Linked DNA regions of Astyanax mexicanus. The protein of the gene in region 3 purifies or fractionates together with the protein of the main gene of each other region. This does not show direct contact. Links are inferred from orthologs where the notes say so. Each region holds a gene or a part of one and is shown on either strand. Other genes may lie near its edges. The genes, in order: nudcd3, emc1 and klhl22.

Evidence for each region.
Region 1: the proteins of klhl22 (region 3) and nudcd3 purify together in Homo sapiens (co-immunoprecipitation; 3 studies listed by BioGRID and IntAct, counting the BioPlex papers as one, with this or other methods). This does not show direct contact. The link is inferred for Astyanax mexicanus from reciprocal best matches to the Homo sapiens genes KLHL22 and NUDCD3.
Region 2: the proteins of klhl22 (region 3) and emc1 purify together in Homo sapiens (co-immunoprecipitation; 3 studies listed by BioGRID and IntAct, with this or other methods). This does not show direct contact. The link is inferred for Astyanax mexicanus from reciprocal best matches to the Homo sapiens genes KLHL22 and EMC1.

Annotation. Positions count from the first base shown.
Region 1 is NC_064427.1:2,310,736-2,318,686, forward strand, and holds the start of nudcd3 (nudC domain-containing protein 3), read right to left. Parts: upstream 3,164-7,951; 5' UTR 2,991-3,163; coding exon 2,793-2,990; intron 1,817-2,792; coding exon 1,479-1,816; intron 1,116-1,478; coding exon 983-1,115; intron 288-982; coding exon 144-287; intron 1-143. Other genes in the region: mrps24 (28S ribosomal protein S24, mitochondrial), read left to right, coding at 4,041-4,079, 4,808-4,888, 5,372-5,483, 6,000-6,283.
Region 2 is NC_064420.1:35,925,261-35,932,946, reverse strand, and holds the start of emc1 (ER membrane protein complex subunit 1), read right to left. Parts: upstream 3,503-7,686; 5' UTR 3,443-3,502; coding exon 3,351-3,442; intron 1,863-3,350; coding exon 1,735-1,862; intron 1,561-1,734; coding exon 1,495-1,560; intron 1,406-1,494; coding exon 1,312-1,405; intron 1,235-1,311; coding exon 1,106-1,234; intron 968-1,105; coding exon 841-967; intron 224-840; coding exon 68-223; intron 1-67. Other genes in the region: uncharacterized protein zgc:154075, read left to right, coding at 4,727-4,783. UniProt on the Homo sapiens protein: Part of the endoplasmic reticulum membrane protein complex (EMC) that enables the energy-independent insertion into endoplasmic reticulum membranes of newly synthesized membrane proteins.
Region 3 is NC_064419.1:25,409,645-25,418,103, forward strand, and holds the start of klhl22 (kelch-like protein 22), read right to left. Parts: upstream 3,344-8,459; 5' UTR 3,237-3,343; intron 737-3,236; exon of another isoform or gene 704-736; 5' UTR 660-703; coding exon 433-659; intron 1-432. UniProt on the Homo sapiens protein: Substrate-specific adapter of a BCR (BTB-CUL3-RBX1) E3 ubiquitin ligase complex required for chromosome alignment and localization of PLK1 at kinetochores.

The DNA.
Region 1 (7,951 bases), on a different chromosome or scaffold from region 3:
AACTGTATTATCATACTTGTAAAATTGTGACTGAACATGTTTCTCTACATCCTAAATCACATTTTTACTATTTATACATCAAACAACAACTTTCTATTTTAAAAAATATCCTGAAAAACAGCTTGAAATGAAACAGTGCTTACTAATACACATTGTCCTGGCTCCAGACTCCACAGCGAATTCTCTGTGTTGATTTTGTGAGTAAATTCGCCTTCCAGCAGGACTTTTTCTGACGCTCCCTCCTTCACTGCTACACGAACTGAACCACACTGAAGGTTCACAGATACCTGTATAGAAAAAGATATTAAACAGTCATTGCTGCAACAAGTAGCACCTCTTGTTTAGATTAGACAGTTTTGCACATCTCTGCTGTCTCTTTTCTCAGTCAGCTTTATGAGGTAGAGTCAACTGGAATTCAGGCTTTCAGTTAACAGCTGTGCTGAACTCATCGAGAGTTAATTACTTGAATTTCTTGCCTCTTAATGTGTTTGACAGCATCAGTTGTAAAGTGGTGAAGATGTACAGTGAATAAGTAATGTTCTAATACATATTATGGCAAAAAACACTCAACTAAGTAAAGAAAAGGGAAAAATATTTGAAGAATTTATGGTCAGTTAATCCGAAAGTCAATTTCAAGAACTATGAAAGTATCCGAAAATGCAGTTGCAAAAAAGACCATCATGATGATGAAACTGGCACTCATCAGGACCGCCCCAGTAAAGGAAAAGCGAAAAGTCCCTCTGTTGGCAAGTTAACAGCTCCCCAGATAAGAACACCTAAATACTTTACATTTAACATTTTAGTTTGTTTAACACTTTTAAGATACTACATGATTCCTTATGTATTCCTTCAGAGTATTAATCACTTCAGTATTAATTAAAAATGTATTTTAAAAAATTAATAAGAATTTTTACAGTAGGATCTAGAAGGTAATTTACTTTTTTTTTTTTTACTGCTGTGGATAGCCATGGCTGTTAATTACCTGTCTGCCCTTGACGATACTGGGTGGTACAAAAACTCGAACTTCCACATCCGTGTAATCCTGCGACCAGCTGTAGTTTTCTCTAACTGCACCATTGTAGCTGTCCGAGTTGGCTTGATAAACAGTCTGCCCACTAAACAAACAACAGACAAGATCAATAAATTACGTAAAATTAAATAAAATTATTAGGATAATACATAATAAAACAAATATGCTTCAGTGTAGGTTGTTTCTAAAAACAGACAGTATATATGCATGTGTGTATATCTAAACTCTTACCAAATTAAAAACCTATGAAATATAATCAAGAGGAAAATGGATGATCACAAGCCATCAAACCAAACTGAACTGCTTGAATTTTTGCACCAGGAGTAAAGCAGCATAAAGTTATCCAAAAGCAGTGTGTAAGACTGGTGGAGGAGAACATGCCAAAATACAGAAAAACTGTGATTAAAAACCAGGATTGTTCCACCAAAGCCCAAGACCAAACCCTTACCCTGCATCTGTACTGGAGGCTGAAGCGGAGGCTGAAGCGGAGGCTGAACCGGAGGCTGAACCGGAGGCTGAACTGGATGCTGCTGCTGCTGCCTGATCACTCTCTGCAGGCTGGACGCTGTTTTGTGACTGGGTCTCCATAGCTGAAGCAGCGTCTGGTTCTGTGGCTGAAGCTGAGGCAGCTGCAGGTTCCTGAGGGGCTTCAGCAGGTTCTGCTTCTTCTGGCTGTGACTGAACCTCCAGCTCCTGAACTGCTGCTGGAACTGCTTTGGTCTCCTCAGCAACCTGCATCGCCCGCTCTCTGTCCTGAGCCGCACACTTCTCAAACAGCTTAAATGTCTGGAGGCAAAGGAGAAAGAGGAGACTTGTAAATAGCATTGTTAAAATATATATAAACATAAAAATAAAATTATAATGATGCTGGGTCATCCTTATTCAGGAACACAGTCTTTAAAATGAAATATTAAATTTAATGTAATTCAATCCAATTTAATTTAATTATCCTTACATCTAAAGTTTAGTTCATCCAAGCCAAGAGATGTTCAGTTCAGTGCACTTCACTGCACTGTACTAATCTCCACAGTACTTTACTGCACAGTATCTGTATTGCACGGCACTACTATCCACTGCACTGTACTGCTCTGTACTACTCTCCACTGTACTGTACTTCACTGCACTGTATGTATACTTAAATGCACTGTGTGTGTACTTTACTGCACTGTATGTGTACTTCAATGCACTGTACCTACACTTGACTGTACATCCCTGCACTGCACTGTATTTGTAAGTTACTTCACTGTACTGTACTGTACTGCTCTGTACTACTCTCCACTGTACTGTACTTCACTGCACTGTATGTATACTTCAAATCACTGTGTGTACTTTACTGCACTGCATCTGTACTTCACTGCATTGTACTGGCACTTGACTGTACATCACTGCACTGTACTGTATTTCACTGCACTGTATTTGTAAGTTACTTCACTGTACTGTACTGCTCTGCACTACTCTCCACTGTACTGTACTTCACTGTACAATAATTCACAGCACTGTACTTCACTGCACTGTACCTAACTGTACAGTAATTCACAGCACTGTACTTCACTGCACTGTACCTAACTGTACAGTAATTCACAGCACTGTACTTCACTGCACTGTACTGTACCTTACTGTACAGTAATTCACTGCACTGTACTGTACCTTACTGTACAGTCATTCACAGCACTGTATTGTACTGTACTGGTTGTGGATGAACAGTGGGGGTAAATAAACAGGTCAGTAGTTTTTCAAGTTCTTCAGCATGCAATTCTCTCACCTTCAGCACCATTTTCTCCGCGACTCCGGGCGGAAAACCCATGCGGTCGGTAGAGCTGCTCATCAGCCGGTAAAAATCAGTTTTTCTGTATAAAAACCCGAAAAAAATCTGCAGAAAATTCTGGATGTTTCCGACGTGCTGCAGAATCCCGAGCAGCGCGTTATCATATAACTCCGTCATTTCCACCGGCGAGGACATTCTCCACACAGCGCGAGCTCTAATATACCGCTAATAAACCACACTGATATAAAACACACGATTAACTGCGCGAAATACAGTAAATTACACAGTTTATAAACAGAGAAAGAGCTTCAGTCCCTAAAAAACACACACAGCCACAACACCATACAGCCTTACTAAACACTTCCGGTACCACTTACCAAAATAAAAGTCTTCCCTTGCCTGTTCACAACTTTTAACCATTAAAAGTTAATACAAATATATTTATAAAGAATTTATTAAAAGTTTAATAAAATGAACATATTTAATTTAATTAAATATTTGGCTTTTGCATTATTAACAGCAGAAGTCACTCCACTGACAGGAAGAGAACAAAATTAAATAAAAATTATTAAAGTTACTAAAGATATAACTTTAATATATTTATATATTTAGAGACTACTTTATTTAAAAAATCTATCTATCTATGTATGCATATCAGTCCTCAATGTTAAAAAAAAAAATATTAAGAAAAATAATTATTTTGTCCTCATTTTAATTTGTTGTAGTTTTAACAAAATGCCAGTAGAGAGCGCAAAAGTACGTTAAAATCATAAGATTTATCATGGAATACTATTTAAATATGCTTATAATATCTAAAAAAAGTACTTTTAAAATCCAAATATATTATTAAATTTCATTCAATGTAGTATCTATATTATTTGTTGATATTGATGTTTTAATGAATATAATGTTTAATTGATTTTTAATCTTTGTAAATAATACAAAGAATCAACATGAAATGGACACAATATTAGGCCAAATTCACCGCACATACAAGCAACATCACACATATATATATATATGTATAAATAAAATTTAGATATCTTATTTAATTGTAAAATGTTTCAAACTGTCGCAATTTGCAACACATTAAGGTAAAAATATTGTTGTATGTTATAAATGCATTGTACAGTACAGTGTGTATCTGGGTTGGTGTGTGGGTGAGGAGCCGCTAGGGGGCGGCAGTGAAGCTCCGCTGCGGTACAGGAAGCGGGTGATGGTCGCTGGTGGTCATGTGCAGCAGCCATGGCGGCGTCCTTCAGCAGCCAGAGGAGATTATTAACAGTAAGCGCTGATTTACACCATTAATACTCCGTTTATTACCAAAAAATCACCTGCAGCTCTTTATAGTTCAGCTCTCTGTGTGTAGTGTAGAGCGGGCAGCACTGCGAGCCTGAGAATACAGCAGAGTTACTGTGTTATTGTCCCTAATTCATTATTTTTAATGTAGGGTTAATATATATATCACAGCTGTGAAAAAAAAATAAGAGAGTGTGTAAAAAAAGATGAGATTCTTTGATTTTTCAAATTGAAAACCTCTGGAATATAATCAAAAGGGAGATGGATGACCACAAGCCATCAAGCCAAGCTTGATTTAGAAACTGAAGTGGGCCCTTATTTGTTTCCAGAGCCCTATATATATATATATATATATATATATATATATATATATATATATATATATATATATATATATATATATATATATTATTTTTTTTTTATTTAAGAAATGTAACTATAATTGAGAGGTTGACACAGTGAATCAACACCAGCAAATGACATGTCTCTCCAATCCATCACTGATGATCAGTACATTTTACATTTCATTTGGAAATCAAAGGACCAGAGTCTGGAGGAAGAGTGGAAAAATCTTACAGCACTTTTTTGGAGATGCGGATTTTATTTTCCAGCCGGACTTGGCACACTGCCCACACTGTCAAAAGTACCAATTGGTCTCATATAATATTCTCATTTTCTGATACATGGCTTATGACTTTTTTCTTCCCTTATAGACTCTGTGTAGTCAGTTGAATGGTGCACTATGGCTGAACTCTGGAGTGAGGAGCATCCACTCTACAGCAGTCTGTAATAAGGTATGGAGGACTGGTGTGTTCTTAAAATTTAACTTTAAACTGTATTATTGCCAAAATGATTCGCTCACCCATCCAAATAATAAAACTCAGTTGTTCCTGAATCTCTTCCGTCTTCACAGGTGTTTAATAATAAAAGCAGCAGCTAGGCATGCTGGGACTGCTTCTACAAACAGTAGTGAAAGAATGGGTCTCAGGAGTTCAGTGAATTCCAGCACTGTGGTACAGTGATACTGTAGGACGCAGCACCTGTGCAATAACAAGTCCAGTCATGAAATTTCACTACTCACTACTAAATATTCCACAGCCAACTGTCAGTGATATTTCAGTCAGTGTAAAATAACAGAGTGCTGTGCATTGTGGTGATGATGATGCTGATACTATATAATATTCAGGGTTTATGGTCAGTATTTGTAATGCTTTGATTGGCTGTAAAGGATATGATGTAGCTGCAGGGTTAATGGGTCTGTTGTCTTGTCTCTGCAGAATCGTGCTGCTCGTATCCGTGTGGGTAAAGGGGACCGGCCGATGACGTATGAGGAGGCTCTGCCCCCCCACCAGATCGCTCACAGGAAGGGATGGCTCTCCCATCATACAAGCAAGTCACTCTTTTTATTGATTTTAACCTCTTGAAAAGTTTTCCAGTTTTACTGGGTATATGTATGTATGTATGTGTATGTAATAGTATAGTGTAGTTATTTATTATGGCTCTAATATCCTAATATTATTTTATAACAAGACTTCTAATCAGCCTATTCAGCTCATTTTAGTTGAAAAGACATATTATTATTTAGTCCAGCACTGACTTACACTATTAAAATGATTAAAAAAAAAACACAACAAACTATCAAAGGTGCACTAACAAAGTGCACTACTGATTTTCCTTTACTATGCTGCATCTATATGTTCCATATATTCATCATTTATGCAGCATAGACACATAGACCACAACTTTACACCTGCTGAACTGGGTATCTACAGTATATCCAACAGACAGAAAAAAAAATCTTAAATGCACACTGTTTTTTTTTTTATGCTCAAACAAAACAAAAAAAAAGACTTTTACAATTTTAGAGTTTTTTAGAATTTTGCACACTGTTTTATGTTTTTTTAGGTAATCTGAATGGAGAGCACGGCACTGCAGATCGAACAGTAGAAGACGCCTTCATCCGACGCTTCATATACGGCACGTTTCACAGGTGCCTGGCGAATGAACTGGTTATTAAGCGCAGAGGAAACATGCTGATCATCTCTGCTTTAATGTTCCAGAAGATGCCTCCTCGTAAATATTATTTCTTTATTGGCTACACTGAGGAACTGCTCTCGCACTTCTATAAATGTCCTGTGAAGATGGAGATCCAGACGGTGGAGGAGAAAGTGGTGTATAAATATCTCTAACCTCTCGTGTGTTTGGTTAATGTTTTGTAATGGAGGGAGGATCGGAACTCACAGCTGTGTTTCTTTTTCAGTTCAAACTGTTTGTGTTATAAATATCATGTGAATATAAAGGTTTAAAATATGAAACATGCTTGTGTTCTGTATGTTCGTCACAGAGAGTTTATAAATTATATAGGCTTAAAGTTTTTTTTTTTGCTTTTCTATTATTTTTTTTTAATGCACTAAAAGCAAACAATTATCAAAAACAAATAAATAATCTCTGTAAATTTAAATGTTCCTGATGTGCAAACACACATGCCAACATTATTATTATTATTATTATTATTATAATTATTTTTATTATTTTTAAGCTATCTAGCAACCTACTTAGCATAGATTTCCTAATGCTAATATTTATTGCATCATTAAGGGATTTAAACAATTTTTTTCATAAGATTCATTAATTGTTTTAAGAGATGAAGTAACTATTTTCTTTAATTTAATTTTTATTTACCTCTGCTCCCTAAAACTAAGTGGGGACGCTTTATTATTTAACACCCTGTTTTTTTTTTTGTCTTTTGACTGTTTACACAGATTAATAATTCACATTATTAATTAGAAAAGTGGACAGCTAAAAGAGTTCACACTGATAGCTAAGGTATCCCAGTTGGTTGCTAAGCTGTGGCAAAGTGGTTGCTGTGGTGTTGCTGTGGTATACCTGGTTGTTGGTGTGTGGTTGCTAAGTGGTAACTAACAATTCCAAGGTGGTTGCTATGGTGTTGCTAAGCAAATGCTAGGTGGTTGCTAAAGTGTTAGTATGGTACCCGTGGTGCCTGCTTAACAACACACAAAACACTAGAAATGCACAATAATATTTGCTATTTTTCCAGAATTAATTGTTTTTAGAATTTTTTTTTTTATTATTTTATGCTGGGAAAGGAGTTAGAGGTGCTGGCCACACTACTACAAAAGGCCAACTCTCGTCTACTCATTTAAGCTAATATTTATTGATTTTTATTAGTTATTAACGTTTTAAAGTTAAACTGGGGTGTGTAATCTCTCTGTAAGTTATAAATATCTATATTAGCAGCAGCAGATATTTACATGTGAAATACAGAATATGGGCATTAACCCAGGAAAAAAAGACCACATCAGCGCATAACTATAAAACTCAACAATATTATAAACCAGGCAACACTGTTTTAAGGAATTTAATAGAATTTCTTTAACATTTTTTTTCAAACAGGACAAAATTAAAAGTTTGGGGGTGGTTAAACTTCCCAATTTCACATTTATTATTATTCTGTAAAATTAACATTTCCTTTAACGCAAAAGTGTGTTCACAATTATAGTGCAAAAGACAAGGCACATATAATTCCATCATAATACAAAAAAAAAAAACTTTGCCTAAATGAGACAATTTTCCCTTAAATATCCAACATAATCCATAAAAAAAAAATCCAGTTACAAATACAGTGAGAAAGTTTAAAGCTCTGGAGTGTGTTCTCAAATATCTGGAGTGGAGTGGAGCGATGCACATGTAAAAGAGAGAGAGGGAAATTATATATTCACATTTAAATAATATTTAAAATATTCATGTGATATGTGACCGGAAATACAGTTTATATTAAAAATATATATGATTTAAAGCTCTCCACCATTTCACAGTTCCTCTGAATGGGTGCAATG
Region 2 (7,686 bases), on a different chromosome or scaffold from region 3:
CTATAAAAAGGCTAGGCAGATACAAAGTGAAAATAAAATATATATCAAGTGAAGGGAAAATGTTTACCTCAAGCAGGATTGGAGTCATTGTTGTCTGATCAGCAGACTGCAGTGGGAAGGTGTACAGTGATTTTGTAGTTGGGTCAGCACACAAAAGCACCCCAGAACCAACCATCACACAGCTGGACTGCAAGCTTGACAACCATGGAGCCGCAACTGATTTCTAGGAACAACAAAATATGTTTTCTGAGAATCATTCACACCAGGACAGGAATATTTGCAAATGTTACATTTGTAATACACAAAATATTTATTTATAATTAAACAGGCTAACATTTTTTCGTGCATAAAAAAAACAAAAAAAAAAAACAATATTTTCCAGACAAAGGAATAAGCCATGAAGTCAGACACCATGCCACAGCCAGCTGCATCACCAGACCCCTGATTAAAAATGTGTGGGATACTATTAGAGGTGCTATCAACACTCCACATCTGTTGCAAAATCTGCAGGAACTGCATGAATAATCCAGCTGCATGGGAAGGATTACTGCAGGAGATTCTGCATGTTGTGTTTCACATGTGTCACACACTACTTCTGTGTGTAGCATAATAAGTACTTCCCATATCATATATCATATAAGCTCATCAATTACTGTCCCTAGCAAGCTTTATCTTCCTTCCAAATAGCATTGCAGTTATTTTCGCCACAATTTTCTTTTGACAGTGAGTGTATATATATTAATTTTATTTTTGTGGGTACATTACTAATGGGCCAAATAACATTCTTTAAACGGGGTAACTTTGGGCAGCCCTGATTAAAACAATAGAATCCATGCTTACCTGTTTCATGATTTCTCCATCTTCTATGTTGTATTCAACAATAACAATATGAGAATTGGGGACCACACCAAGAACAAAGACCTGTCCATTCCCTCCAGAGTAGACCGTCTGATATTGAACAGTGTCACTAAAACATACAAAACAATAGAATGCAAAAAATGTAACGAAGTGATTTAGAGATTTACAAGAAAAATAAGTGACATAAAGAACAATTTTATATCTATTAAAATAAATAATTCATCTGCAAAATATTAACTAGTTTCACCTTTCTGGAAGATTTTCCACCCATTTCTGATGGCCATTGGAAAGGTAATGAAGCGAGATGGCAGACTTCTTAAGCACCGCAACATACCTCACCACATCTTGGACTCCAATATAAGCAGCAGACTGAAAACTAAAGGGATAATATATGTTATTACATTTCTGAATATCACAACACCATTATAATCATAAAGGTCACAAACATCCAACCTTCCAGTATCAAGCACTGTCTCCCAATTTAAGCCTCCAACAGTGGTCTCCCAGGATCGAAGAAGTCGACCATTCCCAACAACAACAACGGCATCTAGTAAACAGCAAAGACCACGGTTTCACAGTTTACTCGCTGCACTTTATTTAGTAGCAAAATTAAAATTCATACTTTCTCACAGGTACCTTGGCCATGCATCATAAGTGTATCAATATGTCCATCTGGTCCGGTCTTGTCAACATGTCGCCAGACTACAAAAAGAAACAAGAGATCACTCTTACATATATTTATCCTTGCTTCATTCTACACCTTCATACATAGAAAAATAAATACATTCGATGTATTTTAACTTACATTTTCCAGTCAATTATAAAAAATGTAACTATTCTTATTTAAACTAATGCATCTTGGAGAGTAATACTCACAAAGATCTCCAGTTCTGGAGTTCAGAGAGGCAAAAATATTCTTCTCAGTTGCCACCAGTAGCTTTTTAGATGCCTGGGAATGAGTATCGAACAGTGCAAATTGCACCTTCCCCACAAACTGCTGTCTCCTAAAATAAGATTGCACAACAACATTTAGGCAACAATAATGAATTAGCTTCTGTTGAATTTGTTCATTAGTCTAGCTCTGTTTCCAGAACATTGTATTGCATTGGTTCATTCATGATGATGGTTTCATGCAATGCACAGCTGCTTGTATCAAATTATGTACAAAAGAAATAGATACAATGAGATTTTTCACAGAAAAACAGCAATTATATATTTTTGGCCATGTGAAAAACACTTAAATGAGTATGCATATTTTTCTTATCATATTAGGTTTGGCTCAGATAGCACTAGAGGCTAGTATAAGCCTTTAGATACAAATATCTTTATATTTGTCTATTTTGGAAAACACATTTAGTCAGTTGTGTGCACATTTTTGACTAACTGGCTTCTAGACAAAACCAACAAAAACACTAAAAGATACTAAAAACACGAAATGTGTTTTAAATTTATTGCACATCACTGACTGTAGTAAGTTCTTTACACTAAAAAATCACTGGCTAAAACGTAGGGATACGTGATGACATTGGACTCATATTGGTATCATATCTATGTCTAGATATTTTAAACAGAATCTTGTTTACGTGTGTATTGCTGTACAATACTGGCTGCACCACTGACAACAGGCCGACACTGGCTGCCCTACTTTAAAATCCAATGATATGTACATATTGTTGTTAGTTTCAATAGATATATTGTTTAATAAGACTAGTTCATTTAAAGCTGATGTAAGAACTAGTTAGCTGGTAAGTTTTTAATGTGTATACTGATATCATCAGCTTTACATTTGTAATTCAATATATCTGCATCAACCCAGAATTACCACATCAGTTCAGCCCTACTTAAATTAAACATCACAACATAAAAATGAGGGCTATGTTACAAGTTCTAGTAAATGTCATTTAAAAACCAAACAAAAAAATCTACATTTCTACTGAGACTCAAATAATACCATGTCTACACAATCTTTGGAATGGAAAATGAGAATAATGAAATCTAGATAATCTTGCAATTCTAGTCAATGTCCTTAGTTAAAATAATAGAAGGGTAGACATGTTCTACTCAGACTGAAACCACAACATTTCTCTTTCAGAAACCTGAAAAACTGATTAGCAGTTTCCGAAAGAATAATTATGATGACTGTAGCTATAAAGCTGGGATCAGTCGTTAAGGAAGCAAAAACATATAGGTTAGGTTAGCAAGCGACAGCAGGTGTATTCAGTTTAACTATTGTCATTAATCGACCAGTTGTTTGATATGATAGATACTTAACCCTAGCTATAAATCTGATTACAATAATTATGATTTAGAACAACTAAGCAAGCTAACTAGCTTAGCTAAGCTACATCTCACCACCAGCCAATCAGTTTTAGCTTTGGCTGCCATTAGTCAGCTAGCCATTAGCTCCCCGGTGACCAGTTTGAATGGTGTGTTTCAGAAAGCTGCCTGTCAGCGATATTTACAGAGTGTATAATCTCTCCGCCTGTACATACCAGTCAAACTTCCCCACCTGGTCCTCAAACACCGCCGCAGAGAACCCTAATAAACACAGACACACAGAAAACACAGAGCACAGCCCGGCCATCGCTGCTGCTGCTGCTGCTACTGTAGATCCTCCGCGGGTCCCATCAGCCTCCGCGATTCAGGACCCAACGACCAAACCCTCACTATCCGTTAATTCATTAATTACCAAAACGAAAATAATATCATTTATTTAAACCTTCAGTTTTTTCATACTGTACTTTCCATATTACCCCTAACAGATTGACTACAGTGTTTATGTGCATCTGTAGGAAGGCTGTTAGGATTATTACAGTCAGGCAGTTCCCTGGGCAGCCTTTTAGCTATATTTTAACCCTTTCCGACCTTTCATCCATTACAATGTACATCATTTAGACATTATCATGCGTTTTCTTTATTTTTTAAAGTTTTTAGCCTTTGGGGCAAAGTTATGTTTTACTTTAATTGAATTTAATAACATTTATAACACTTTTTAATCATGTTTTCTTTAACTGTTTAGGAATGTTTTATGTAATTTAATATAAAATATTACATACAGCCTTCCAATGCAATTTGAATAAAATATATATTATATATTTTAGTTAATTTGATTTATTTGCTATATAGATTTTATATGAGAATATTATATTATATTCATATTATATACTACTATTCTACTATAAAATCTATACAGCAAATACATTGCAAACAGAAAAGATTTGGAGTTGTTCGAAAAAATGGATCCACATGGAGCAACTGAGCAACATTTTCTAAATGTCTGATCATTTTACTAGTGATGGCAAACAGAGGGTTTGGGAAGACTGAATCAAAAGGTTCAAAACCTGATTTGTGACCGTCAAGTCAAGCTTATTTTTTGTTTCGATACAGACTTCGAACCAGTTTGAATCAAACACTGTGATTCAAATGAATCGATTCAGTTCGAATCTGAGTTTTGAGTTTGAAATCGCTGCTTATTTCCTGAACATAGAACAATATCAAATGTTTTAGCACCGCTGATTTATAGTCGCTGTCCAAAGAAAAACATGTATCTCAAAAACAGCAACTTTAGCGTTTTAGAGAGATAATTAGCTAAAGATTTCTTAGCTTTATTTAAATGTAAGTCAATGTGAAGAGTAAATTTCAGCTCATTTTGGCCCATTTATCAATTTTTACACAATGTAAAAAGGACAGTTTGTGTTTTAGACTATGAAATAGTATGTAGTAAACCAAAAATTTACCAAATTGAGATACTTGTTTTTAATTAAACAGCGAGCTTTAAAACCTTAGTTAAAATCGTTGTATAACTTTTAAACGTGCTCTGGCTTTAATTGTAGCATCAGCTCACCAACCGGTCAGCACACTAGCAGAAATGCTAGCGTCTTCCTGCCTAAAACTTGTATGCTGTACGAAAAATAGCTACGTACAGGTAAGTTTCTTTACTTTTTTAGAACAGTTCTTTATTATTATTTTCAAAATTAAAGAAGCATTTTGGACAGGTAGTAGTTACTATTTTAATTTAGAGTTTTTAGCTGTTTAGCTCAATTTACCCCATTTATTGAGGACTCTCTCGCGGACTCCCTCTAGCGTTAGCAGTCCTTTTTCACAGAACGGGAGAGCTGTATCCCTGCTCTAAAACACCTCAGGTCATGAGGCGCTGGATGCTGTTTTTACGATTGAGAAAGTATACCATGTAGAAACCTGGTACCTGGTAAAAAACAGACAAAGTGCCCTATTGGCTGCACTAGGCTACTCATAGTGAAAATGTGTTATTGTGTGCTGTCTAGATTTAGAAAATTTGATAACTTCTTTGGACTTCTGTCCTTTGAATAAGACATGCCTTCCATGTCACACCTATTAAATCGTGTCCTGAAGAAGACAGAACCGGACACGGTGCTGTATAGGGTTCTCCTACTCCTCCTCTCCTATTTTATATACATTTTTACGCATCTCGTGCGTATTTACGCGTTTCATGCGTTTTACGCATCCCGTGCGTAATTACGCAGCTCGTGCGCTTTTACGCATTTCGTGCGTAATTGCGCATCTCGTGCGTAATTGCGCATCTCGTGCGTAATTACGCATCACGTGCGCTTTTACGCATCCCGTGCGTAATTACGCATCTCGTGCGTTTTTCGATTGCTCCATTCAAGCAGGTAAATCCTAAATTAAGCTTTCAAAAATTATAAGATCTCTTTGAAATATGTATTAATACCTGTTTGAATCAAGCTTGCATGGTGTGCAAAACAATGATGTGTCGGTGTGCTGGATGCTGCAAGATGTGCCGGTCAATGTGCTGGTTTCTCCCAAGATGTGCCAGCTGTTGTAAGATGTGCCAGTTGATGTGCTGGCTGCTGTAAAATGTGCTAGTTGGTGTGCTGGATTTTTTAAAGATGTGCCAGTTGATGTGCTGGCTGCTGTAAGGTGTGCCGGATTTTTTAAAGATGTGCCAGTTGGTGTGCCTGATTTTTTAAAGATGTGCCAGTTGATGTGCTGGCTGCTGTAAGATGTGTCAGTTGGTATGTTGAATTTTTTAAAGATGTTCCAGTTAATGTGCTGGCTGTTGTAAGATGTGCCAGTTGGTGTGCCGGTGTTACACCGTTTTCTGTGACCGTCGGGTTTTGTGACCACAGAGGGCGCTACTTCACAGTTTCTGTTCACGGGCACGAGCGCGCTGCGTAGACTGCGTAAGCTACGCGGACTCGCTTTATTTTCTCTTTCTGCTGCTGTCGAACGATGAAAAAAGGGTGTTTACATTTTTATGTTGTCTATAAATAAAATAAATGATCTTGAACATGAACGTTTCATTATTAATTCTCTGCATTTTCACGTCGTATGAAGAAAGTAGGGGGGGGGGGGGGGGGGGGTGCACTGCAAAATACAAGCTTTTTCCCTAAACAAACCAAAACGTCAGAACCAGTAAAATATTAGATAAGAAGAAAATAGATTATCTCATACTTTACACCTGTTCTATTATGCTAAACATACATTAGATAATGTGTATCATATTTAAACTGATCTAAAAATTATTCAAATGGTAGTTATAATGCCCTATCCGATGTTAAAAGATTCCATTTTAATTCCATTTATTAAAAGGGTTAGGTTATTTTTTCATTGTTTTCTGTTATTTTGGAGACAAAATGGGCTGATACTTGATTCAACTGTAAAAATGTGCCTTTGTCAGGTCCTATCTTAAACATGAGTTATAAAGTTTTTTTTGTGAGAGTGAGGCAATCACTGGCCTTTACTCAAACTCTGACATCTGACATCAGAATATGTGACACTATTCATCTCCGTGTAAAACCAACCAAATCTTCACTCACTATTACTTCACATTTTCAGCTTTACAAAACATTTATTACTGGACTTGATCGTAATGCTTTAGAATAGGGGTCATACTTTCTGACAGCTGGTATCAAAATATGTGACCCTATACCATCTTTATTAAATATAGTTTAAAACTTACCACATTTTCTCAGATTACTCACCATTCCTTCACCTTTTCAGCTACACAAAACATTAGTTACTGGACTTGACCATAATGCCTTAGAATAGGGGTCACACTTTCTGACAGCTGGTATCAGAATATGTGACCCTATACCATCTATACTAAATATAGTGCAAAACCAACCAAATACTGTCAGATTACTCACTATTACTTCACCTTTTCAGCTACACAAAACATTTATTACTGGACTTGACCATAATGCTTTAGAATAGGGGTCACACTTTCTGACAGCTGGTATCAAAATATGTGACCCTATGCCATCTTTATTAAATATAGTGTAAAACTAACCAAATCTTCTCAGATTACTCACTATTCCTTCACCTTTTCAGCTACACAAAACATTTATTACTGGACTTGACCATAATGCTTTAGAATAGGGGTCACACTTTCTGACAGCTGGTATCAGAATATGTGACCCTATACCATCTCTATTAAATATAGTGCAAAACCAACCAAATACTGTCAGATTACTCACTATTACTTCACCTTTTCAGCTTCACAAAATATTTATTACTGGACTTGACCATAATGATTTAGAATAGGGGTCACACTTTCTGACAGCTGGTATCAGAATATGTGACCCTATACCATCTCTATTAAATATAGTGCAAAACCAACCAAATACTGTCAGATTACTCACTATTACTTCACCTTTTCAGCTATACAAAATATTTATTACTGGACTTGACCATAATGCTTTAGAATAGGGGTCACACTTTCTGACAGCTGGTATCAAAATATGTGACCCTATGCCATCTTTATTAAATATAGTGTAAAACTAACCAAATCTTCTCAGATTACTCACTATTCCTTCACCTTTTCAGCTA
Region 3 (8,459 bases):
TATTATTTAACATGAAATGAATAAATTGTGTATAATTTATTACAATTATTTGTGTATAAACATTTGTTGTCAAGTTACAATATTTTTTCTTCAGTTTCTAAAGATATTTGGGATATTTTTAGCTTATTTTTAACATTATACAGCATTCTCAGCTATGTGGATGTGGATGCATCTACAATGTTCTGTGGTGTCCTACAATTGTTTTTTTTTAACTTATGTTAAAAAAAAATCACTTAACAAAGTAGTATTATCTAAAAGTATCAATTTACTATTAAAGAAAGATAATATTAAAGTTTCATTATTAATATGATATAAAATTGCAGCATCACATAAAAAAATGTCTAACACATCCCAGTACAACACAAATTTCAAATGTATTAACCGAAGTAATTAACTCTAATGATGCTCAAACCAAAATGCAGAACTAATAACCTGAAATAGCCACAGGAAGCTGCAAGCAGGATGCGATGAGCTTGAATGGGTCTTCCCTCCACCAGCAGCACCACATCAAAAAGAATACCCCCTTCGCGCAGAGCCAGAAGCCCATCCAGGAGTTCTCGGGAGTGGCTACCGCTGCAGAACTTCTGCCTGGCACACGGCTGCACAGAGTTTACACCTCGCCCTGCCTTGACTGGGCTGGCATCCACATCATCTGCCATTTCTGCACCACCAGACGCAAGGCCTTGTACTGTAGATCACATTACTGAGAAAAGGTTTTCGAGATGAGAAGGGAAAGCTGTAGGTGAAAAAAACAAAAAAACGAATAATCACTTAGTGAATTTTTGTAACCATTTATTACAGCTGAATGCATCAAATATAACAGGCTACTTTATACATAAATGGATTTCAAGATATCATATTCAACACAACTCAAAACCTGCTGCATGACATTATGTTTAACTAAAAAACAGTATGGTCTTTAAATGTATTTTAACCAATTAATGGCAAACAAAAATATACTTGGCATTCTAAAGCAAAAATAAAACTTACTACTCTTACCATTAATCCTCATTCTACTTCACATAAAACAGTATAAAACAGCTAGCTAAATTTTTCTTTTGTAAATATTGAGACTTTCCTCTCTACTAATCACCATTGTACAGATATATGAGCTAATGGGTAAAAAATGCAACACTTTATACTAAACAAATCCAAGTAGTGCTGATACTTTAACACGGAAATTTGGTACAGTTTTGAAGTTTTGAAAAACAGGTGCATTCTTTTTAGGTGTGTATATATAATTCATACAGTAAATAAATTAAATATTTGATTAAGAAATAATAAAGAAACTGAAAGTACAGTGCACTGATCATAGATTTAAGTTTCTATAATCTATAAAGCTAACACTGACACATGTAAATTCACTGGTTGTTTTGGACAGTAATGAAAATGCTGTGGTTGGGTTAGATATTGCAAATCCTGTTTCCATTCACCACCACTTTCAATAAATCTCAGTTAGTGATTTTCTTTACAATTAACTATTTTACACTAAACCAATCACAGTCAATCTGTCTGCTTCTCAACAAGTGAAAATTTCTTTTTTTTTTTTTTTTTAAACTAGATTTAATGCGTAAATGTGTAAAAGAAATACACAATAAGAGAAACACACTGGGCTTTCGAAAGCAAAATCATTACTCTTAACTCTTAACATTAACTGCTACTTTACCTCACATAAAGCCCCATAAGACATACAGGTTTATTGATGGACGGGAGAGACATAAAAACAGAAATTAAAAATATATTTGTGTTGTAGACAGCAATCATCCCCGAATTTCTATCACTGTAAAGAAATATGCATGTTACCCTGAAATTAAATATTTTACACTAAACTAATCTGAGTGACTTTGTTGGTATATCAGTGTCTGGAACAAACTTCTCTTTAAGTGTGTATAATTTGTTATCTTAAGGCGTTCCTCATAACAAATCAATGACACATGTAAATTTACTGGTAAATTTACTTTGGACAGATAATATAATAGCTATATTTGTACTGTAGATACTGAGACATCCAGCTTCACTAATTACCAATGTACAGATATCTGAGCTAGTGGGTTTCTCTAAAATGCAGCATTTTATAATCAACCAATCCAAGTGACATTGTTTGTATTTTGAAGAACAAGTGAAATTATTAATTCTTTAAACACACACAGCCCAGGATAAAAAAAAAAGACCAATTAAAAAAGTTTCTTGGATTTTACCATATTGAAAACCTCTGGAATATAATCAAGAGGAAGATGGTAGATAACAGCCATCAAATCAAGCTAAACTGCTTGGTTTTTTGCACCAGGAGTGGCAAAAGCAGTGTGTAAGAGGAGGTGGAGGAGAAAATGCCAAGATGCATTCGAAATGTGATTAAAAACCATGGTTATTCCACCAAATATTGATTTCTGAACTCTTAAAACTTTATAAATATGAATTTTTTTTTTCTTCTGCATTTTATTGTTATTTCAACCATTTTAGCCCTTTAATATGTTCATACAGTTAACTTAATGTTTGTCTGACTCAGTTAAGAAACTGAAAGTACAGTGCACTGATTACAGATGTTAAGTTTCAACAATCTAACTATAAAGCTAACAATGACACACATTTACTTGTTGTTTTGGACATAAATAAAAATGCTGCAGTTGATTTAGATGTTGCAAATCTTGGTTTCATTCACCACCATTGTAAAGAAATCTCAATTAGTGAGTTTCTCTACAATTTACAATTTAAAACTAAACCAATCACAATCAATCTGTCTGCATCTCAAATAAAAAAAATGGGTGTAATTCCTCTTTTTACTGTAATAATAAATACAATACAATACTTCATGGCTATTGTTTGAGTCAGTAGCTGTAGAAACCGCAGTACTGTCTGCCTGCACTAGTTAACTAACCACCCTAGAGCTACAGAATAAAAACAAATGCACTGATTCCTTAACAACTTAACAAACATCACATGTAACATTAACTAACAAAACTAGGACTACTTTCCGCCAGTTAGTGTAAAATATTATAAATCACAGTAGCTGTATATTTATTTACGGCTGTTTGGCGCAGACTGAGCGAAGACGCTGAAAAACACTTGCACCACTGCAACAAGGTGGCTAAGCTAAGATGCTAACGCTAACGCTGTCTCCGCGCTCCGCTGTAGCACTTGTGCGCTTCATTAACCGCACAGAAAGTGTTATATTACTACAGCACGTCCGTTAAAAGTCGCGTGCATAAATGAATAACTGAAAAAACAATGAAACCTACGGGAACAGCGGCTGACACTCTACAGGAGGCTCTAGAAGGCTGAAAGTCGGCAGGCAGCGCTGTTGACAGTTGACATTTCGCTTTCGACTTTAGCCTAGCGACACACGATTCATGAATCAGTCGGTTCATTTGAACCGGTTCTTTTTTCGTAGGTAGTTGCATAGACATAAGATGTCTTTGGGTAGTAGAACCAAAGTAGCTCGGGCTCATTCAAAACTCATTGGGATAGTAATTTACAAAAACAAGGCAAAGCGAGCTTAACTGTTAAATAAAGTAGCTTTATTTTTAGTGTTTAATTACCCTCTCTTTCTGTGGTTCTAAAAAAAGTTCGAGTAATATAACCTGAGACACAACGGGAAATGAATCACTCTAAGAGTCAATAATAGTCTGTAGTGAAGTCGCTTATGTGTCACAGACCATTTAAAAGCTGTGTTCCTTCCAGCACTTTTTTAGTCATTTTAACTCACGCAGTTTCTAAGTGGCTTAATGAATATCTTCAGAGCATCACTACAGGACAGTGAAAATCTGTGTTTGTTCATCTGAAGTTATTTATTTATTTACTGAATGTAGGACTGGGTTAGTGCTGGAGATCAATTATTAATTGATTATTGATTATTATTAATTGTATTTTTTTTGCTTCTATAGGTCTGTACCAAATCATTTAAAGCACTAAAACCAATCTAAAAGCTTTAGTTAAATGTTTTACGTTCCGTAGAACTAGTTCTGACTTGATTTCTAGAACAACATTTATAAATAGTTTAATACTAATGAAATCTGTTATATTTTTATATCAGGATTTTAACCTTATAATATTTACAGTCACGTGCACACAGTAGTAGTAATAATAATAATAATAATAATAATAATAATAATAATAATAAAATAGGCTCTGGGGTATTATAGAGCATTTTTAATTTAATTTAATATACAGAAACCATGTTAGAATATCACGTTAATCAACCTTAACAAAAAAAAAGCACAAATGCTATTAAAGAGATTCTATTAAAAAAGTATAAGAAATGTACAAGGCTTTTGACGGACTTGTAAGTTTATTCAGAGGATAGCTACAGAACTGAATCATTGACTCAGACAGTTCACATGAATCGGTTCGGTAAACTGAATCAAACATCTCCTCTCTACTGAATATTAGCCTGCTAAGCTAGCGCTATGTTTATGTTCGCCAGCTGGTTCTCACTTCCGGTCACCCCTTTTAAAATACCCTGTACACTGTGAACATAAACACCATGATTAACACTTTTAAACGTTAAAAATGTTATATTGTGACATTGCGTTATGACTATAGAAACAGTAGATTCATTTGGTTTGATTTACTGAGCAACACTGAGCAATTCATTTCTTCTTTGATTTTGCTTATTTTCTTCTCTGTTCTGATCTGCTGCTCCAGATAACATGCACATGTGGGACATGTATGAGTAGCACAACTGCAAAACAAAAACTTCCATGTTGCCCCCAAATATTGAGGGGACTATGCAAGCTTAATATTTACACATTTGTAGTGTATATTGTTAGCCTTTAAACATCTGAAAGCATATTATAACAGTTTGAATGTAAGGGAAACAGGTTTTTTTATTTGTTGACATATACAGCTCTGGAAAAAAATAAAGAGACCACTAAAATGGTTTTAAACTTACATTTTAAACTTTATGAATATCAATCTGTTTTCTTTGCATTATTTGTGGTCTGAAAGCTCTGAATCGTTTTTGTTATTTCAGCCATTTCTCATTTTCTGCAAATGAATGCTCTAAACGACAATATTTTTATTTGAAATTTGAGAAAAATGCTGTCCGTAATTTATAGAATAAAAAAACAATGTTTATTTTGTTTAGACATATACCTATAAATAGCAAAATCAGAGACATGATTCAATAACTGAAGTGGTGTCTTAATTTTTCCACAGCTCTTGGTCTCTTAATTTTTTGTTTTTTATTGTTGTTGTATTTCCTGACACTTCTGTTATGTCCTCTGCACTGTTATAATGTAGCAAATGTCCCTGTTATGGTATTACTTATGTCTTATTTTATGTTTTTTTTTTAATGTAACTTATTTAACTGTATCTTCAGTAAAGCTGAAATGTGCACTTCCTTATTTTAGCCAACAGAGGCCGATGTTGTTCTTGTTAAGTGTTTTCAAATCTGTCGTGTTCCTCACACATCATAGAAAACACATTTAGTCCCATTTTATAGGTCCTTTACACGTGCAGTGTTTGTACAAACCATTTCAGAAGCAGTCAGTAAATCAATAAATAAACAGCCTCGTGAATGTATAGGCTATAGAAACTAAGATTCAATTCACATTTTGCAAAGATTTGATAAGACTTTTGACTAGAATAGACTAAAATAGAAACTGTCCCGTGTTGTTGCATTTGCAGTCTATTGCATTTGCATTGATCTTTAAACCATCTCAAGCAATTGATGTGATTATTTGTCCTGCTCTGTCTCCTCTGCTGCCTGGGTCCCAATGCTTTTATTGCACTCATAACTAATGGGGCATGTTGCTCCTATCAAACAAATGCCTACTCAGACCTGCTGTAAAAGCTGACATATGTCCCACACTAATGACAGGTCAGAAATCAATAAGAACCAGACAGAGCTACAAAAACAAGTCCAGTAAAAAAAAATGCTTCAGTCATTTGTGCTGGCAGAACGACTTTAAAATAGCCTTTTTTCAGCGGTAGGGTACACATGCTGGAAGAGACAATGTCCAGACAGGCCAGGGGTGTCAAGGCTTAGGTCCTGGGGGGCTGCAGCTCTACAGAGATCAGAGTTTTTTCTCTTTTCTCTCTTCAAACACACAGACTTTGCTCCTGTAGCTGATGAGTTGAATGAACGTGTGTTAAATGAGGTGGAACACTGTAGACCCACCAGGCCTGGGGACTTAACACCCCTTTTCTGTCTGGACATTGTGTTCTGTGTTTGCTGTTTCACCTGTTTCAACCTGACTGCTAATGGGAGTCTGTGCATATTAGTTTAGCAGGGCTTAGAGCATGTGAAGGGTCTTAAATCCTGAATGGTTTCTGAATACTGCTGGTGTGCCAGGGAGTTTATGACCTGCACCCTTATATCCTTTTTTCTATATATATAACAAAAGCACATTATCACAAAGGGCACTAGATATACAATACCAGTCAGTGTTTTGTTCTCTTTTTTCATTTAAGCTCTTCAGATACACTCAATATTCAGACATGTTACAAAATCTTGCAGTAAACTGACAGGGTTTCATATATAAGTATGATATGGTATGAGATGATGTAATAACCAAAAAGATGCCATTGAGGGTTAAGAAAAACACATGAGCTAAAACTGAAAAAAGGTTACTTAAGTATTCTTAAAAAACAATTATTAGTATATTGTAAAAGTGATATATTGGTTTAAAAATGTCATTTTACAAAGCCTCTGTCTGTAAAGCAGTGCTGAAACAGAATGTGTTAATGCTGTCTCTACTGCAGCATTTACACACTTATACACATTCACACTTTTATCATACATACTAGAAAAAGACACAGAAACACAGATAACTTAAGAATGTAAGTCTTTTCTTCAGATAAATTACAGATGAAGTCAAAGAGCAGTGAGTACTGTTTCCTACACATTCAAACGACTGGTACTGGAAGAGATCTGTCTGACCGACATGGCAACAGCTTTAGCCTTCAGCTCAGCTTAATATCGAACTTTGTCTCAATTTCAGCAGTGAAGAGAAGAATTGGTCAGACAGGTGAAGTTCAGCAATAAAAAAAGCAGCTTATCTGGGCAATATAGCAGTGCTACTGGACAACACAATAATCTTTAACCGGTCCTGTGTATATCTTTCTCATTCATTGTTACCATTATTTTTTGCACTATAAGCGGCACTCAATAAACATCTATTTTTATACATAAGGCACATTGGATTATAAGGCGCATTGTAATAGATCAGAAACTTCTAATTCAGCAGGTTGTGGGGGGTGAGGGAGGGGTAGCTTACTAAGTTAAGTAACTTTATTAAAAAAAGACTTTCTTTTAAAGTCAAACAAGGGCTGGATGTTAATCTACACAGATTTCTTTCCTGAAAACTGTTTATTTGGGTTAGTAAAGTGCATCGGTTAAGCTTAGAATTAGCATTATTGGCTAACTGCGCCAGCAGTGCTATCCGGGGGTTAGGAGCAGGCTACAGGCCTAAAATACTAACCTCTGAACAGGGAAATAGCGAGTGCAGTTAGTGGGTAATGCTAATGCTGCTCCAGCAGTGCTAACTGGGGTAAGCAGCAGGCTACAGACCGATAATACTCACCTCTTAAAGGGGAAATAGTGGTTAATGCTAATGCTACTCCTCTGTGCTGAAGAACAAAACTGAAACCGAATAACTTAACTGAACTAAAACTGAAAAACACTGCAATTTGCTCCTTAAAACCTGACTGGTAAAATTCATACATAAAAAGCACTGGCTCACTGACATTTTTGGGGAAGATTTGAGGATTTTAAGTGCACCTTATAGTGTAAAAAATGAAGTAAGTTAATTACTTTTTACCAGAAGAAAGTAATGTTATACAAAAACATCTGGTAAACTTGTACATCATCTAAAACGTATTGACATATTTAAGATCATAATATGTGGTGTGCCTGGCAAACAGATAAGAGCCTTTTTTATTATTGTTATTATTAGTGTGATTGCAGTAATGCAATCACAGTATTGATCTTCTTAAGTCTTATTAGTGTGATTGCAGTAATGCAATCACAGTATTGATCTTCTTAAGTCTTATTCTTCTTCTTCTTATTATTAGTGTGATTGCAGTAATGCAATCACAGTATTGTTCTTCTTAAGTCTTATTCTTCTTCTTCTTATTAGTGTGATTGCAGTATGCAATCACAGTACTGTTCTTCTTAAGTCTTATTCTTATTATTATTATTATTATTATTATTATTAGTGTGATTGCAGTAATGCAATCACAGTATTGATCTTCTTAAGTCTTATTCTTCTTCTTCTTATTATTATTATTATTATTATTATTCCACCTGTTTTTTGTCCGGTTAACTAGTGCCGCAGTTTTCGAAATATCGACTTCGTTCAAAAGAGAAAACGTGCGTCTATATCGGGAATGGTGGGCTTGTATACAGCTTTCCGATCGGACTTACGTTTTTCGTAAAAACTTCGTAAGTACGCGTTTTTTTGCCCATTGACAATGAATGGGCAGAACTTTGCACGCCCGTGGACGTCGCAATTTTTGAA